Drosophila melanogaster: one gene and its partners. The protein of the gene in region 3 interacts with the protein of the main gene of each other region in a pairwise test. Each region holds a gene or a part of one and is shown on either strand. Other genes may lie near its edges.

The links.
Region 1: the proteins of Tmem214 (region 3) and okr interact in a two-hybrid assay, tested with the Drosophila melanogaster proteins (one large-scale study listed by BioGRID).
Region 2: the proteins of Tmem214 (region 3) and RNF220 interact in a two-hybrid assay, tested with the Drosophila melanogaster proteins (one large-scale study listed by BioGRID).

What each region holds. Positions count from the first base shown.
Region 1 is NT_033779.5:2,989,047-2,994,605, reverse strand, and holds okr (okra), read left to right. Parts: upstream 1-1,846; 5' UTR 1,847-1,896; coding exon 1,897-1,899; intron 1,900-1,956; coding exon 1,957-3,271; intron 3,272-3,327; coding exon 3,328-3,481; intron 3,482-3,539; coding exon 3,540-3,945; intron 3,946-4,006; coding exon 4,007-4,170; intron 4,171-4,226; coding exon 4,227-4,539; 3' UTR 4,540-5,012; downstream 5,013-5,559. Other genes in the region: CG3558 (uncharacterized protein), read right to left, coding at 198-871; Bem46, read right to left, coding at 5,095-5,209, 5,269-5,447, 5,525-5,559.
Region 2 is NT_033777.3:22,724,337-22,728,321, forward strand, and holds RNF220 (ring finger protein 220), read right to left. Parts: upstream 2,079-3,985; 5' UTR 1,934-2,078; coding exon 737-1,933; 3' UTR 548-736; downstream 1-547. Other genes in the region: Irp-1A (iron regulatory protein 1A), read right to left, coding at 23-115, 176-188; CG45049 (uncharacterized protein), read left to right, coding at 2,971-3,155.
Region 3 is NT_033779.5:10,964,401-10,971,818, forward strand, and holds Tmem214 (transmembrane protein 214), read right to left. Parts: upstream 5,804-7,418; 5' UTR 5,723-5,803; coding exon 5,602-5,722; intron 5,529-5,601; coding exon 5,233-5,528; intron 5,177-5,232; coding exon 4,562-5,176; intron 4,497-4,561; coding exon 4,292-4,496; intron 4,184-4,291; coding exon 4,038-4,183; intron 3,767-4,037; exon of another isoform or gene 3,456-3,766; intron 2,412-3,455; exon of another isoform or gene 2,165-2,411; coding exon of another isoform or gene 2,102-2,164; intron 2,010-2,101; coding exon 1,593-2,009; intron 1,511-1,592; coding exon 1,392-1,510; intron 1,320-1,391; coding exon 1,205-1,319; 3' UTR 505-1,204; downstream 1-504. Other genes in the region: YL-1, read left to right, coding at 6,154-6,287, 6,348-6,480, 6,557-6,857, 6,917-7,404.

The DNA of each region.
Region 1 (5,559 bases), 8.0 Mb from region 3:
ATATAAATCTTAGAAGATAAATGGAACAAGTCAAGTGGATTCATCACTCGTAATTGGAATATTACAGGGTCACTTTTTTAGTATTGCCTTATCTGGCTAATGTCGCTATTACGCGATGAATCATTACACAAATATTCATTTATCGCTATTCTTTTTTATGCTGAATGAATTGGAATGTTTAAAAGTTATGAGCTTACTTGGTAGTGGTTCCGCTTTTGGGTGGCGCCACGTTGCCATTTAATATCTGCTCCTGCACCTGCGTCTGGGCGGAGAAGAAAAAGAGGTCCAGCAGGTGGACATTCTGCATAAGAACCACGCACAGCTGGTTCAGCAGGATCACCAGGCGCTTCTCGAGATCGGGCGGAAAGATCTCGCCCTGGCTGGATGCCAGTATCTTGAGCAGGGGTCGCAGGAAGGGCTCGTGGCAGAGCAGCTGGTGGCGCGAGTGGCTGACGAGCAGTTCGTACAGCTTCAGCTGCTCCAGCCTCACAGCGTTGGCATACCGTCCCGTGGTGCAGGCCCACTCGTACAGCTTGTCCAGCAGATTCTCGCTGAGCAGGAATTCCAGGCAGGGCGCCGCAGGCGGACCACTAGCCTCGGCCGCCGGCAGCGAGACTTTGTTGCAGTGATGCAGCTCCACGAGCAGCAGGGTGACCATGTAGTCCAAGTGCGAGACCACGCCCAGCACGTCGTCGTGCGAGGGCGGTGCACTGTGCTGGATGATCTCGAAGGCCTGCTGCCAGTGCTTACAGAAGCTGTCGTAGCAAGCGCGCGGATCGCAGTCTGTGGCAGCGTCGATGGGTCGCTGTCGCAGTGGGCCGACGTGTCCGACGGAGGCAACGCCTCCACCGCTGCTCTGGCGCAGCCACATCGTTGTCGGTGCGGTGTGTGTGCGATTCGGTGGCTTTTAGTGGCGCTGGTCCGCTGATAACTGCTCCGTGTGCGTTTCGTTTGGCATGAATTGGTGGTGCTGGTGCTCTGTTATCTCTCGTTTTGTGCTTTTGTCCGACTGTGTGAGTGGTGAGTATTTCAATGTTGCTCGCTTTTTAAATATTTAGAAGCTAAAAGAAGACGCACTTTAGTTGAATATTCGCTATTTACTTTTCTCTAATGTTCCCAAGAACAACAAGTGACACACTTACGCACACAGCCACACACACACCTGTGTACGTGTGCCCACCTATTTGGGCACTCACTGTGGTTGTTGTTGCTGCTGCTGCTCGCTCACCTGATGAATTTAGATTTGATCATCGTCATCGTCTCCGCTGCTTTCCGCTCTCCGTGCATCGTGCATCTACACCCATTACTGTTTAGTGGCCCTTCTTAGATGGGTTTTCACGCTTGCAGCATTTGCAGCGTTTTTTTTTTTGGCACTTTGGCAATTACAATTACAAATACAATTAAGTGGTAGTACCAACACTTCCGCAGATTTGCGGACTAGATTTGCGTTCTTGCAGCACGAAATTCGCGCTTTTGGCGCGGGTTTTGAAGTCAAGAAAGGGAAGGCAGTCCGGCCCGCACTTTATTGCCTCATTTTGCACTATTTTCGTAGTGTTTCCAAAGCAATTCTGCGTAAATATTTACAATTATATCTGCACGGAAATAGAAAGTTAGCGATGAGCAGCTATCAATATAACATATCGATGTTTCGATTATACCTGAGATACATCGGGAATTTTTGACATCGGGGTGTAGCAATTCCATTTTAGTTTTATTTTTATCTAATTATCTATTCACTTTTAAAACAGCGTGCTATGATCACAAGTATTAGTTTGATTAAATGCGTTCTGTTTCATTATCCCAGCGTTCCACTTACCAGTATTTCTTATCGCCTGTGTGACCAGACTTCCGCGCTTCTATCAGCTGTTCGCGCTACCGCCATTTGAATTTAATGAAATGGTAAATACAAAAATTTGATTTATTTAATTCCATTTCCCTAATCATTTATTCCTAAAGCGGCGCAGTCTGGCTCCCAGCCAACGTGGACCACTGCGTCCCGAGTCCCGTCACTCCTTCACGCCGCCACTGCTGAAGAAAAACAAGCGATCCTGCCAGCAGGAACTGGAGCGAGAGCAAGAACTGGACAGAAGACGACTGGGCGCCCTCCGAGATGCCAGCAACACATCAGAGCTCCCACTGCCTATTCGCTTCACGGCGAACAGCGAGTATGAGTTGGCCATTGCCAAGGTTCTGGCACGGAAGTTCAAGGTGCCCATGGACAATTACGTACCGGATTACGGTGGTAAACGGGTCCTGGGCGTGCGGCGCTGCATTTCCCGACGACCCCTACACGATCCGATGGCCTGCAACGCCTTGGTACTCTTCCATCCACCCGCCTACACAGAACACGAGCGCATGGGCATGGATCCGACCAAGGTTCTGGTGCACGTCGTCGTCGATCCGCTGCTGAGCAACATATTGCGGCCGCACCAGCGCGAGGGAGTGCGTTTCATGTACGAGTGTGTGGAGGGAAAGCGGGGCAACTTCAATGGATGCATCATGGCCGACGAAATGGGTCTCGGGAAGACGCTGCAGTGCGTAACGCTGGTCTGGACACTTCTAAGGCAGGGGCCCGAGTGCAAGCCGACGATCAACAAAGCCATTGTCGTGTCTCCATCATCGCTGGTTAAGAACTGGGAGAAGGAGTTTACCAAGTGGCTTCACGGTCGACTCCTTTGCCTGCCCATGGAGGGCGGGACCAAGGAGAACACCATCCGAGCACTCGAGCAGTTCTCCATGACTTCTGCCCGGCTGGGGACACCTGTTCTGCTCATCAGCTACGAGACATTTCGCATCTACGCGGAGATCCTGTGCAAGTACGAGGTGGGAATGGTGATATGCGACGAGGGACATCGCCTCAAGAACAGCGACAATCTGACGTATCAGGCTCTCATGGGACTGAAGACAAAGCGACGGGTCTTGCTTTCCGGCACTCCCATCCAGAACGATCTTACTGAGTACTACAGCCTGGTGAACTTTGTAAACCCGGAGATGCTGGGAACGGCGGCCGTGTTTAAGCGCAACTTCGAGAGCGCTATTCTGCGGGGCCAGAATACTGACTCCACGGAACAGGAGCGACAACGGGCCATAGAGAAGACACAGGAGCTGATAGGTCTGGTCGATCAGTGCATCATTCGTCGCACTAATCAAATTCTAACCAAATATCTGCCGGTTAAGTTTGAAATGGTTATCTGTGCGAAACTGACGGCGATTCAACTCGAGCTATACACGAATTTCTTGAAGTCTGATCAAGTTCGACGTAGTTTGGCGGGTAAGTCATTAGGCAATACTACCACAACATTCCTACCATTTACAATTCCCTTCAAGATTGCAATGAAAAGGCTTCGCTTACGGCGCTGGCAGACATTACAACGCTTAAGAAGATTTGCAGTCATCCGGATCTCATATATGAGAAGCTCACTGCGCGGGAAAAGGGATTCGAAAACTCCCAAAATGTGCTGCCTAGTAATTACAAACCAAAGTACGTCGCCTGTTGCGCGCGAATAGCAATGGCTATTAATGAATCTTTTGTGTTCCAGGGATCTCAATCCAGAGCTAAGTGGCAAGTTCATGCTCCTGGATTTCATGCTGGCAGCAATACGTGCAGAGGGCAACGACAAGGTGGTTCTCATTTCCAATTACACACAGACCCTGGACTTGTTCGAGCAGCTCGCGAGGAAGCGAAAGTACGGATTTGTCCGGCTTGATGGCACCATGTCCATCAAGAAGCGATCGAAGGTTGTTGACCGATTCAATGACCCGGAGTCTGACAGCTTCCTTTTCATGCTGAGCAGCAAGGCTGGCGGCTGCGGCTTGAATTTGATTGGAGCCAACCGCCTGTTCATGTTTGACCCAGACTGGAATCCGGCCAACGATGAGCAGGCAATGGCCAGAGTGTGGCGTGACGGGCAAAAGAAGCCCTGTTACATATATCGCCTCGTTGCCGTGAGTACCTGAATTGGTTCTGCACGGAACTTTCTTTTTCAACTCAAGAAATCTCTTTCAGAGTGGTTCCATCGAGGAGAAGATCCTGCAGCGACAGACGCACAAAAAATCCCTGTCGAGCACCATCATTGACAACAACGAGTCGGCCGAGAAGCATTTCACCCGCGACGATCTGAAGGACTTGTTTACATTTGATGCGAACATTCTGTCCGACACACACGACAAGTAAGAACTGGCTTTGGATACCCTTTAGATCATGATCGTGTAACATATCTTTTCAGGCTCAAGTGTAAGCGCTGCGTTCAAAATATACAAATGAAGCCACCGCCCGAGGACACGGACTGCACCTCGCATTTGTCACAATGGTACCATTGCTCCAACAACAGAGGCCTGCCTGACAATATTCTCGCCCAGGCCTGGATGGATTGCAAGTGCGTGTCCTTTGTCTTCCACCACCGATCGCAGGCTCAGGAAATTGTGCCGAGTGCTGAGGAGGAAGCAACAGATCAGCCAGAGGAAAAACCAGAAAGCCGCAAACGATCATCCACGCCCGCCAGTGATGACAGTGCCGATGAGGACTTCCGTGGATTCTAGCAATTGTTTGCAGTTTATTGTTTCTCGAATTTCCTTTTTCTTCGCACTTAAGTCTAAACTTAAGATAACTTTTTCTGGCTTCCTTTGCAATCCTAACAAGTTATTAATTTAACATTTCAAAAATGGAACCAGCACAAAATGTTAACGTGCTAGGGGTGAAGGCTTCTATAAACTAATCTGGCAATGTAGGAGTCAGTCCAGAAAATAGTTTACTTTTTTGTGAAATACTGATCAATTTCTATACTCTTAACTGGCCGCCAATCGGGCAAAGTAGTAGGTTAACATAGCTTAGGACAAATACAAGCAAACATCGAAATTCGGATTCTAGTGTGTATTCACTTGCTTAAGCGCAAAGTTATTTAAGTTGGTTACTTAAAATCAACAGCCATCTCCGCTAGCACGTTATTCTCTGCACATAAAAAGCAATTTGGCGTATAGCAACGTCCGGATTAAAACCCTGTCAGATACAGATTAATATTATGCGTGTGTATATGTATAAGTATTAAACCATTCGCAGTGTTAACACAGTCAATTGAACACTTGATGTATTCGGGTCTATACATCAATAATTTTATGCTCCAGCTCCACCCAGACGTTGCTCTTCTCCGGCGCCTTGAGGAGCGGCTGTTGCTGCAGCTCGGCCAAAAACCCACCGATGGCCTGATAGTACCTAAAAAGCAAGCACACCCATGGATAAATGGGAAAGTGAAGATTAATTGCCGGCCATACCCGTCCACTATCCAAGTGTCGTTGTGCGATCCGCCGGGGAATTCGAGCAGGCGCTTTATCTCGCTGCCGCATTTGGTATACAAGGCACGCATCATGCGCGGTGGCACTAAGTTGTCCGCAAGGCCCGAAATAAACAAAAAGGGAACCGAACACTTGCCTATCTTGCTCATGGAGTGATACTGCATGTGAAACAACAAACAATAATGTGGTAATGAGATAAAGTAAACAGAGGGCTCAACCGGCGACGACTACCCACCTTATTCTTAAATAATAGATTTGGTATATACTTCA
Region 2 (3,985 bases), on a different chromosome or scaffold from region 3:
AACAACAATAACGATTACCAACCATATTTGCTGTCGATGGAGGGCAGATCAAAATACTTGTAGACGTTGCCGTCCTGGGTGAATGACTCCTGGAACTGGGCAAAGGGATTGGCGCCTGCAAGGAAGACAGGATTAGCGTACAGATCAAATACTCCTTTTTCCAATTAAATCCCACCGGAGCCGGACATTGTGGAAAAATTAAACAGAAAACCAAGCAATGTGATATAGAGATGAGCGCGTGAGGAACCGCTACCAGGCAAAACTTGCTCATCACTAACGCAAACATTATATTATCGATAACTGAACATGAAAACAAACCGGTACACAGTAAAAAATATTTATTTATTACTTAAAATGAAACATTTGTAAATTATAGTGGAATAATTTATCATTTTTGTGATTCGAAAATAATATTGGATATAATATTGGATTGATTGCTTTTTTATTTTAGTTCAAAATAAGGTATTTAAAATAACTTGTTTGCATGTCTTTAAACGCTTTTCCCTTCCTACATGCTAATTTCGTTAAATAAACTTAAATATTAATTATGTTTTCTGCGGTTTATTGCAATAGTTACATGGTAGGCTTATTGTAATGTCACGTAGTATAATTGGTATTTGTAATCTATATAAATAATATGTATAGGGGATTATCATCTAAAGCTGCGTCGGGATGCAAAGCCTGTTTTATGGCGCAAGCAATTTGGCAGCGGGGATAACAAGTCTGTGATGGACGTCTACAGGTAGATTCGTCGCAGGTCCTTCGGCGTGGTAATCGAGTTGCACTGCGGGCACAGCTTTCGCGCGCCGAGCGTCTGCAACCAACACTGCTCGCAGTGGACGTGCCAGCAGGACACGGAGATGGCGGGATTCTTGTAGTCGTCGATGCAGATCAGGCACTTGTACTTGCCCTGCGCCTGCTTTTCGTAGAGCCGCAGCTTGGCCTTCAGCGATTCGATGATCTGCTGCTGGTTTTGGGAGGTGGATCGCGTGGACCGCGACGTAGACGGCTCCTCGCTGGCTGGTGGAGCCTCCACGTTGCTTGTGCTGGCAGGCTCTTGCTCGGTGGCTTCGCTGGAATGGTTTGGCTTGGGCCCATCGCTGGAGGAGATAAGTCGGCGCACGTAGCTGGTAACATCCGCCTCGGAAACATTTCCCTCTGTGTCCTCGTTGACCAGTGGGATCACATCGCCCTCGCCATACTGCGTAGGACCATAGATGTGAGTGTCATCCTCGTCCACGTTGAGATCTTCGTCCTCGTCGTCCTGCGCCTGCTGACTGCCATTGTATTTGATTCTCTGGCCCAGGCCCAGGGCGGAATAGCCTCCTTGCACGAGAGTGGAGACGCGAATGCGCTTCTGTCCCGCCCACTCGTACTCTTCATATTCCTCGCTGTCCTCCGAGTCCTCACTCGAATGCCGCTCACCATTGGCCTGACCATTGCGGCGGCTCTGGCGCAGGCAATGATTAACATGCTCTTGGATGTTGGACTGCGGAAAGTTGTGGTTGCACACGGGACAGGTGGGTTGGCTCGATTCGGCAGCAGCTACGGACGGAGTTGCTGCAGCTGGAGGAGGAGCAGCTGCTACCGTAGGATTTACAGTTGCTGGTGGGGCAGGAGAAGCCGGACGCTTCCTGGTGCGCTGGCGCTGACGGGCCTGCCGATTGCGCTGCACCCGCTGGAACACGCTCCACGGTTGTCTGCCCCCCGATACCGAACCGGATTCCTCGGACGCGGTTGCTCCGCTAGTTGGGGTCGGTGGAGTGACAGCGCTAATGGGATTGTGCAATCGCTCCATCTCCACTTGGCAGTGATCGGCCACCTGACTGCGCTTGATCTTCACGTCGCATGTGGGACAGATCACGTCGTCGTCGCTGTTTCTGCTCAAGTGCTGGGCGAAGTTCTCGCCGTTGGACACCGTGTCCGTAGCCATCGATTCCTCGGATCCACCGCGGACTCTTAAGGGTAAACGAAGTTAAAAGATTCTGTAGTCGGATTTTGTTTTGTTCGATAATCTCTGTCCAAGCCACGCGACGCCGATTTCTTACGTTCTCGTACGGTGGAAAACGGTCACACTGATTTCGTTATTTTTCGTGTCAGTGGAAGTGGTCATTGCGATATACATCGTAAAACCGTTACAAAAGCGCCAAGCACAGTGATTAATATGCTTAAGCAATAATTAAAATTTTATTCACTTAAAAATATCTTTATAATAATTGATTATTTGTTTGAATTCCGTGTTAATTAAAACTTCAAAGTTTGCATTTTGCATTCCAACAACTCTTTTGACCTTAAGTCTTACAATAAAATAATTAAACGTACTGATTTCTTAATTTTTACTCTACTCTGGTTGGTCTTAATACAGCAATATATATATATTATCAGATTGCGTTGTTTACATGCCCGATATAACATGTGACAGATAGTGTCTCTCCCTCACTGTTAGGAAATTTTTATAAAGCACAGCCCCCGCTTTGATAAAAGTTTAAACATCCGAAATGTAAGCTATTTTAATTTCCTTTCTTCGTTAAATTAAATAATTTGACGGTAAATGTAAATTAACTGATAGTTCCATGGCACTTTATCGCTATCGAGAAATGCCCAGCCAAAACGATAGTATCGAGACAACATCGATTTAAGTTCCAGCTCTATGAGGGAAGCAAAACATTATTATTTTCGTCGTTTTTATTTTTTGATTATATAGAAAAGTCAGTGGTCGAGGAACATGTGAAAGTGGAAAAGCGACAGAGCTTTTCAAGCAGAGTGTAAGTGCATACAGGTTGAACCCAAAACCGACGCATATTTTTGCGAAAGTGCAAAGCAGACGGCGAGAGTGTGAAAAGGCAGCGAAAAGAGAATAGAGAAAAAATATAGCAGCCAGTTTCTCCTGGGCGTGAGTGTGTGTGCGTGTGCCATATTGTTAAATAAGGCAAATATAGTAAAATAAACGTAGAAAAAACAGCAACAACTATGCATCAGCAGTACCAGCAGCAGCAACAACAACAGCAGCAGGGTAACCTTGTTGGCTACAACAACAAAATGAACGTCTTGCCCAATTACACGCTCAGCGGAATGAGCTCCTTTGATGCCGAATCGCTGCCAGATTATTCAGAATTTGATTCCGAATCGGTAACCCTGGACTATTACAAGGAAAGGTATATTCCTGAACTCAAACAGATCGCATTTTGTTTTGCTTCCGTTCTTCCGCATAGCACACAACACACACACACACATATATAAACATACGTGTATACGAATTCCCTCGCCCTTGCCATTGTTGTTGTTTTGCATTTGGCCGTTTGCCCCAATTTTGCCTGCCGTTACCGTTACGTTCTATATAGCAATTAACCGTTATGATCCTGTTGCCATGCCACTCATTCACACACACACACTCACACACACAAAGTCGGTACTCGCTCATCTGCGAAATGTGTTTTTGTTTTTATTCCACATTTCTAGCCGCTATATGTAAAACTATATTTATCTCCGTCTAGCCCGTCGAAATATCTTGAGATACATTAGACGCAACATCTACTTACACAAACATATGCATCTTTGTTTGCGTATCTGAAGATATTAAAATTGGCAGGGAATCGTGCGAATTAGGCATAATATGCAGTTTTAACGAAATTTTGATACACTTCCTATTTGTTAGCAACTATTGAGCAAGATCGATAATAAGAAGACTCTGTTTTATAATATTTGTTCAAAATTTCATTTCAAGATGCTGATATTTTTTTTACAAACGTACATAAATTGTCACAAGTCTGACCTATTCTATTGTACTCTCAGTTAGGGTATAACAATGGAATGCGAATGGATAATTAGCATGTCGGTATTTCCAGCATTCAAAATGCTTAGTTGCAGTCCGCCTTGCAGCATAATTTATGTGGGGACTGCACCTCATCACCCCAGCTTCCGTCTTTTGTCATTGAGCCAAAATACGCCCCCCAATGATGACTGAAATATTCCGTCGCGTTTTTGT
Region 3 (7,418 bases):
AGAACCCTACTTTGTTGTACCAATTAGGAAAAGATTCTATCCAATCATGCCATTTCATGAAGATACCAAAGCTTATAAATATTTTAGAAATATAATTAAAACTTCTTCAACTTTAAAGGTGTTATTTTTCAAATACGCAACAATTTTTTGTTGTTTGCACTGCTTTGAATTATGATACACTGCTTAGGAATTTCTCTTCACTGCTTATATGGGTAACAAAAACCTAGGGAAATTTTAGTTCTTGGACTGCTTGCAAAACATTTGAACTGCTTAGTTTCGAGAGAACTGTTCTAGAAAAATTGCCCAGGAAATATTACTGATCTAAATTCTAGTCTCTTTTGGGAAATAAAAACTGCTTTCAAGCCGCTTTTCCAATTTAAACAAGTGTGTAGTGCAAGCCATGCTGCCAATGCCAACAGGTGTGTTCAGAATCTTACGATTCATCAATATGCCCCCAAAAACATAATCAAGCACAGAAAAACATTGAGAAATACGCCTTTACTTCACATCTTTCAATTTTATTTTATTTATGCAAAATCGTGTTTTCCATTAAATATACAAATGAGATTTAAAATCAAATCAAAAGTATCGCGCTATTATGCAAGTATTGGGGAGGAGTCTACAGAAATGTACACACAAATGCAAGAAAACTATGAATAAAAGTATAAAAATATTTGAATCTATTGTTTGCCTTCAAAATGCAGTTGGAATTGTTAAGTTCAGTTAACACAATAGAGTTAACACTTCGCGCATCGCCACAAAAAACGCACTTTAATAATTACAATTACAAAATTTCAATGGTAGAACTTTTCACAAAACTCTCATGCCGTTGTAAACGAATTTAAAAATAATGTTTTCTCAACTTGGAGAAAAATGTTTAAACACATGTTTTACAACAGAAAATTTCTCGTGTCTTTCACTAATTTATCAGTATCGAGGTTGAATTTACTAGATTGTTAGTGTACTATCGGCATCCACAAAGATTTGCTCGTATTGCTTTTTCTTAATTAAACTTGACGAGAAGTTGTTGATAAATGTGAATGACTTCTTGAGTTTCGACTTATAGAACATTTTCCGGTTTTTTAACTTTTTGCGAAAAATTAGGGCTTCCTTCACTATTTACTATGACGCGTATTCTGTTTGCATCTGCTGCAGCTGCTGATGATGTTGCTGTTCGAGAAGTAAGCGTTCCTGACGCTTAAAATCATTTGAGCTTGGCGTATGCGTCGACCTTTTTGTGAAACTGGTTGTAGTACTCCAGGGCGGCGTTACGCGTCTGGTTCAGCGCCTGATTGATGTTCTCGGGCGAGAGACGGCCACTAAACAAAGATCACAATCATAAGGGATGCATTCTCAAAGACAACAAAGGCCAGGCAGGCAGGCATACTTACACAAGCACCTTTTCCTTGATGAGCGCTGCAGCCTTTTCATAGCTGCTGGCGGCTAAATCGCTAACGCCAGCGGCAAAAGCTTCGATTTTGCCAGACGAATTGGGCACGTATTGGTCAATCTAAAATATAGATGGAACGTATTATTAATTCAAAACTGGTTTGCCCATGACCTCATCTTCATGGCGACTAAAAGACACTTACGAACTTTGCCACAACGGGCCATTTGGCGCCAAAGTATCCCTTGCCGTTCTGGTAAGCGTTGCAGGCCGCATTCCTCGCCAGCTTCCACAGGTCACAGGTGGTCTTGATCACCGGCTCGGCGTACGGCGGCACATTCACTTCCGCCCACTTGTAGCCCCGCGCTCCGGCCCCCATGACCGTGTACCAGGACTTCTGGACATGCGGCAGGACTCCGGCATTTTTCAGCACCTTGCCGGTGGCCGATTTCTCGAACACGCCCTTGCCGTTCACCTCGGTATCGTAGTACAGAGCTCCGGCAATCAGGGCGATGATGAAGATGCTACCCAAGGTCCACTTGCAGCATCCGCATTTCTTTTTTTCTGCCGCGGCCTTCTGTTTGTTCTTCTTCTGCTGCGCGCTGCTCTTCTCTTGGACGCTCTACATAGTACAAAATTAGAAAATTATTAAGAATCTTAATTGCTGGGGATAGTTGATATTGTGGAATCATTTGATTGAGTTCAATTTTTTACCTTTTTGGCGGCCGGCACTGGTTTGCCGCTCTGTTTGTTACTTTTCGGTTTAACCTGAGCCATTTTCTAACTTAATTTCAATGAGTTTCGATTATGAAGAGTATTTCTAGATTTCCTCAGCTGTTCGCAAAAGATGTTTAATTATTTATTGTGTTTATCATTGCAATTGTGTTTGCTAAAAAGAATGACGAGACTTTTTGAGCTTTTAAACTGAGCTTTTTTTGCGACTGAGCTCGATGACCTAAGATTTAAGAGTAAGCTAAAACCGCGAGTGAGGATGGGGATAATTAAAAATTGGAAATACGTAGTTATAATACCATTTTGTCCAGATTAAAAACATTTATATTCAATATGCAGGCTATGCTTAATTGGTGTAGATACTTTTTTTTCAATTTTTAGGAACACTTGTATAGGTTTTGCACAAATTTAATGAAGAAAACATGTATTCATTCATTGTGATGGTCTTCAAAATTAGATATATTTACTAATTACTTTAAACGTTGAAAATGAATGAACTAATGAACTAAATACATTAGTCATAATGATTATGAAAAAATGTAATCTTTTTTAAATTTGTTACTTTCACCATTATTTAAAAATAACACACCTTGTCTCTAAATTAAAGTATCATTTACACTCACAATAGTTTCTTCTGTGGACAAAAGAGTTGAATGAACTATGCCCTCTAAATTTCGTCTGTTTTATGCTTTCGGAGTGAAAGAAAGAAAGAATGATGGAAGGCCAGCGAGAATCAGGGTCACAGTGGACATGCCACGTGTTGAAGCAGCCCAAATCTTCAAATGGTTCTCTTTCGCCCCCCTTTTTGGACCATAGAATTCGGAATCGTGGCGTTGCGAGATTTTCAGGTGATAGTGCGAAACTGCACCACTGTGCAATAATGAGAGTGAGAGTGCGGAGAAGAGGCGAAGAGAGGAGGAGAGTGCGCACAAGCGGGATGTGAGAGGGGAGTGGGTGAGGGAGCAGGAGGCGAGTGGCCAATCGCAGCTGGAACACATCAGTCAATAGGAAAATAAAAATAAGCCTCAGATCAGCCGAAAATTGGGTGTACTGATAAGAATGTTGGCTGATAATGCGGCAATTTATGATCCCCGATGGCCATGCCCACTCTCTTTTCGAAAGCAAAACGTCTGCTCTGCTCGGAGAAATTTAGCGGCAACTGGAACCCGCATGGCAACGCTATGGGAAAAGTGCAGCTATAGCTGCCACCAATACCAGTGCAGAACGGCGGAATACACAACCGTTAATACTGACACGCACACATATGCACGAAACGCACTTTGCACTACTGCAACAGCAACAATAATTGCGACAACGCGATAATTAAGGTGCGGACCATTAATTTATGCTCACTCCAGGCTTCAAAAGCCAGTTGAATAGCGGAGAAATTTCGGACGAACGCCGGCTAACGCTTTCCATCTCTTTCCCGCAGCGACGTCGCGTTGGCAGCGTCCTCCTAAAGAACTCTAACTTCATTAACGGCTAACAGTTCGGCCACTTCTACGTGAAGAGTTTTACATTAGTTAGCTGCAGTGTAATAAGCTCATATCATTCTTTTTAGCACCGATTGCAATAAATTATTCACTTTTAGACGGCAGTTCTACAAGTTTATACCTTCGTTTTTCTTTTCACTAAAGCAATGTGACCAGAGTACGTAATGTACTAAGCCAGACCACTTAACTTAAACAGTGTTACCAGAGGTGTGAGAAAATTCAAATTTATAGTGTTTCTGATTTCATTTAAGTTTGAATAATAAGTTTGGGTTAAAAAAGCTAACAAAATAAATATATTACCTATATACTAGTTTTCCAATAAAACTATAAAAGATAAAACAACACACATTCAACATTCACCTTTTATCGATCTGGGATCAGAGCCTTATGCTTGGAATCGAGTGATATACTTAAGTCGCACTCACCAACAAAACCTCCTTTAAATCATCTAGGTGACCTTCGTTTCTCTTGCTTCCCTGCAGTTCTTCGTTCAGATTCGCCACATCTTGCAGAAAAGAGTGATACACAGTCGACGTAGCCAACTCATGGGTAGACGTGGTCCAATTGTCGTCTAGGAAAAGATAGAAATTCAATATTAGATAACACATTAACGTTAAGTGTGGGTGGTACTTTTAAACAAAAATCCAATTAAATGAATTTTCACAGCTGTAGATCGTACTTATAGCTTTCAGAAGCAGTAGACTAGGCAACTGTTGCTTCTTGTAGTTCATGCGCCACACCCTGAGGCAATCATCTCTGCCGCTGCTGAGCAGACAACTAATACAGCCTTCGATCTCATTAGTCTGCTTGGATCCGGCGCTTATTTCCCGGAAGAGCGTAAGGAATATGTTGGCATGCCTCACAGGACTGTTGATATAGTGTTGCTACACACAGGAGGAAGAAAGGTCAGTGAAACAATGGGACAACTATCAATTGTTTTCGTCCTTACAAGCAACAAACGCGCACTACGCTTCAGACTTTGCTGCCATTCCTTGGGCAGGTGGTTATAGGGTGCATTGAGCGCATTGTAAGTGGCAAAGAACTCCTGCTGGTTGATCTGCAGAGGATCCGCTGTCTTCCGGACAGCTGCTGCACTCAGAGCCCGCTCCATATACTCGACCACAAACTTGGTGTACTGCTTTAGCTCCAGGTTGGGCAGCATCAGGTTCTGCCACACGCGAACGCCCTCGTTTAGGGACTGATAGCCACCTTGTCCAATTGCCCACAGGATGCTCAGGCAGATGTTGCTACGGTTCTGATAGGAGTTCCTTAGCAACGCAGTCTTGGCCAGGTTCCTAGAACAAATGTTCGGCCAGTTTTGACCGATCAACTGTAGGATGAGCTTGTAGCCTGCCACTGTCTGATTGTTGTTTAGATCCGTTGACATGCTATCCAGCAGGGAGTAGAAGAAATACTCCAGGTTTTGTTCGCCCACACTGCCCAGAAACTCCACAATTGAGTACTTGAGCGAGGCGCTGGCCAAATTGCTGGGATACTGAGCCGAGCGGCCGGAGAAGATGGGATCGCAGTCATAGGACAAGGCTTCATTGAAGTATAGCGCAATCTGGGGGACAACGATAGGTGAGCAAATATTTAGGCACATTTCCTTTAGAAACATACATGGCTTAACCAGCGCAGCTCGGAGCCAGGACAACTGAGCTTCACCTGCTCCAGTTGGGCAGCAAAATCATCCCGGGTGATGTTTCTCAAGGCCAGCTCCAGAGTCTTTGGCTTCGATGCGGCTGCCGACGTGGTCCTTTTTTGGGTAGAGGCATTCTTTGCGGTGTGCTTTTTAACTGGCGACTTATTGGCTTTTGAGGAAGATGAGGCACTTGAACTAGATTTCGCAGGGGAATGGGACTTGCTGTTGTTGTTGTTGCTGCTGCCGAACAAATTGCGATACCGCTGAGTTGGCACTGCGAAGTGAATAAAATGGCAGGGGCAAACATGTAATCGCATTGCAAGGTGCACCTTTTAAAAGATTCTTACACAGCTCCTCCAGTTTGGGCAACTGGGCCGCGATGCGCTTCTGCTCGTTGTGTGCAGACACCTTCTTGTCCAGATTCTTTTGCTTGCGCGACTTGGAGACCACCTCCCATTGTTCCGACATGTTGCGAGCAGTCTTTTTATCGATGGTATTAAATTAAATCAGAAAATGCAGGCAGCCGGCAGAATAAAAAGCAACAAGCCAAGAGTGTGGCCAGCGCAAGTGTAAAGTAATGTGGTCTACTTTCGGTAGTTGAATTACCGACCGCTTTTTAATGTGATTTTAAAGCAGCTGCCTGCTTTTTGTTGTGATACATGTAATAGATAAATAAATAAATTTAGCTATGTTTTAAATGTGTTTGAATAACTGCCAATGCAGGAGAAACCATTTTCTTTACCAGGGCTGAAACGCATACCAAAGTTGTAAAGCCTCTGCGATATATACTATGTTTGCTACATTGGTCACACTGCTCTGCTTGTTTACATTTACAAATTGTAAAATATTATTATTTAATAGCTGCTTTAAATCATAGTTTCTATATATAAATAACAAAAATGGCTGCCTCGCGATCACGGCGCAACAATGCCGGCAACAAAATAGCTCATTTGCTCAATGAGGAAGAGGAGGACGACTTTTACAAAACGTCCTATGGTGGATTTCAGGAGGACGAAGAGGATAAGGAATACGAGTGAGCACTAATCATTTGAATAAATTTAAATGCTCAAGCCATATAAAATTCACTCTGCAGGCAAAAAGACGAAGAGGAAGATGTGGTTGACTCCGACTTCAGTATCGATGAGAACGACGAGCCCGTTTCGGATCAGGAAGAGGCGCCCGAGAAAAAGCGGAAACGCGGTGTCGTTAACACAAAGGCTTATAAGGTGCGAACCATTCTTAAAATGCGATAAAATCCTGTGATTACTGAATGTGTTTAAATGGTACATATGATTTCCGCAGGAAACCAAGCCTGCAGTCAAAAAGGAAACAAAGGCAACGCCGGCCCTGCACAAGAAACGACCTGGTGGTGGGGTAACGAAACGGCGGCCACGTCCACGCTTCACGGTCCTCGATTCCGGCCGCAAATCCATACGCACTTCCACGGCCATCAAGACACAGGCTACCAAAATACGCCTCAAAGAGTTGGACGATGCCCGCAAGCGCAAAAAGAAGAAGGTGCGCGTGGAGGACTACATGCCCACGCAGGAGGAGCTGCTGGAGGAGGCCAAAATAACCGAGGAAGAAAACACTAAATCTTTGGGTGGGTATCTAAAGCAACCAAGGAAGCAGCTATTTTACAATTTGCTGTTGCATTCACAGAGAAATTCCAGAAAATGGAGCTGGAGAAGAAGAAATCACGTCCCACCAAGCGCACGTTCTCCGGACCCACGATACGCTACCACTCACTAACCATGCCAGCGATGCGAAAGCCCACTCGCGGAGCAAACCCTGCGGTCGATTCAAAGGATCTTGCTGGGAAGTGCGAACGCACATTCGTTACAATCGAGAACGATTTCAATGACAAGGTGTTTCAAAGCCTCTTCCGCCACAAGGCGCCTCCCAAAGCCAGCAATGGCATCTGTCCAATCACCAGGCTGCCAGCCCGTTACTTTGACCCGATCACACAGCAGCCATACTACAGCATCCAGGCCTTCAAAATTCTGCGCGAAGCCTACTACATGCAGCTGGAACAGCAAGGCGGCGGCAGCGAGCAACCCGAACTGGCCAAATGGCTGGAATGGCGCAAGCTGGTCAAGGAGAATCGTCTGAAGGCTTCGGCAGCTGCCAGCAAAAACGGAGATAACTAATAATGCTATCAATT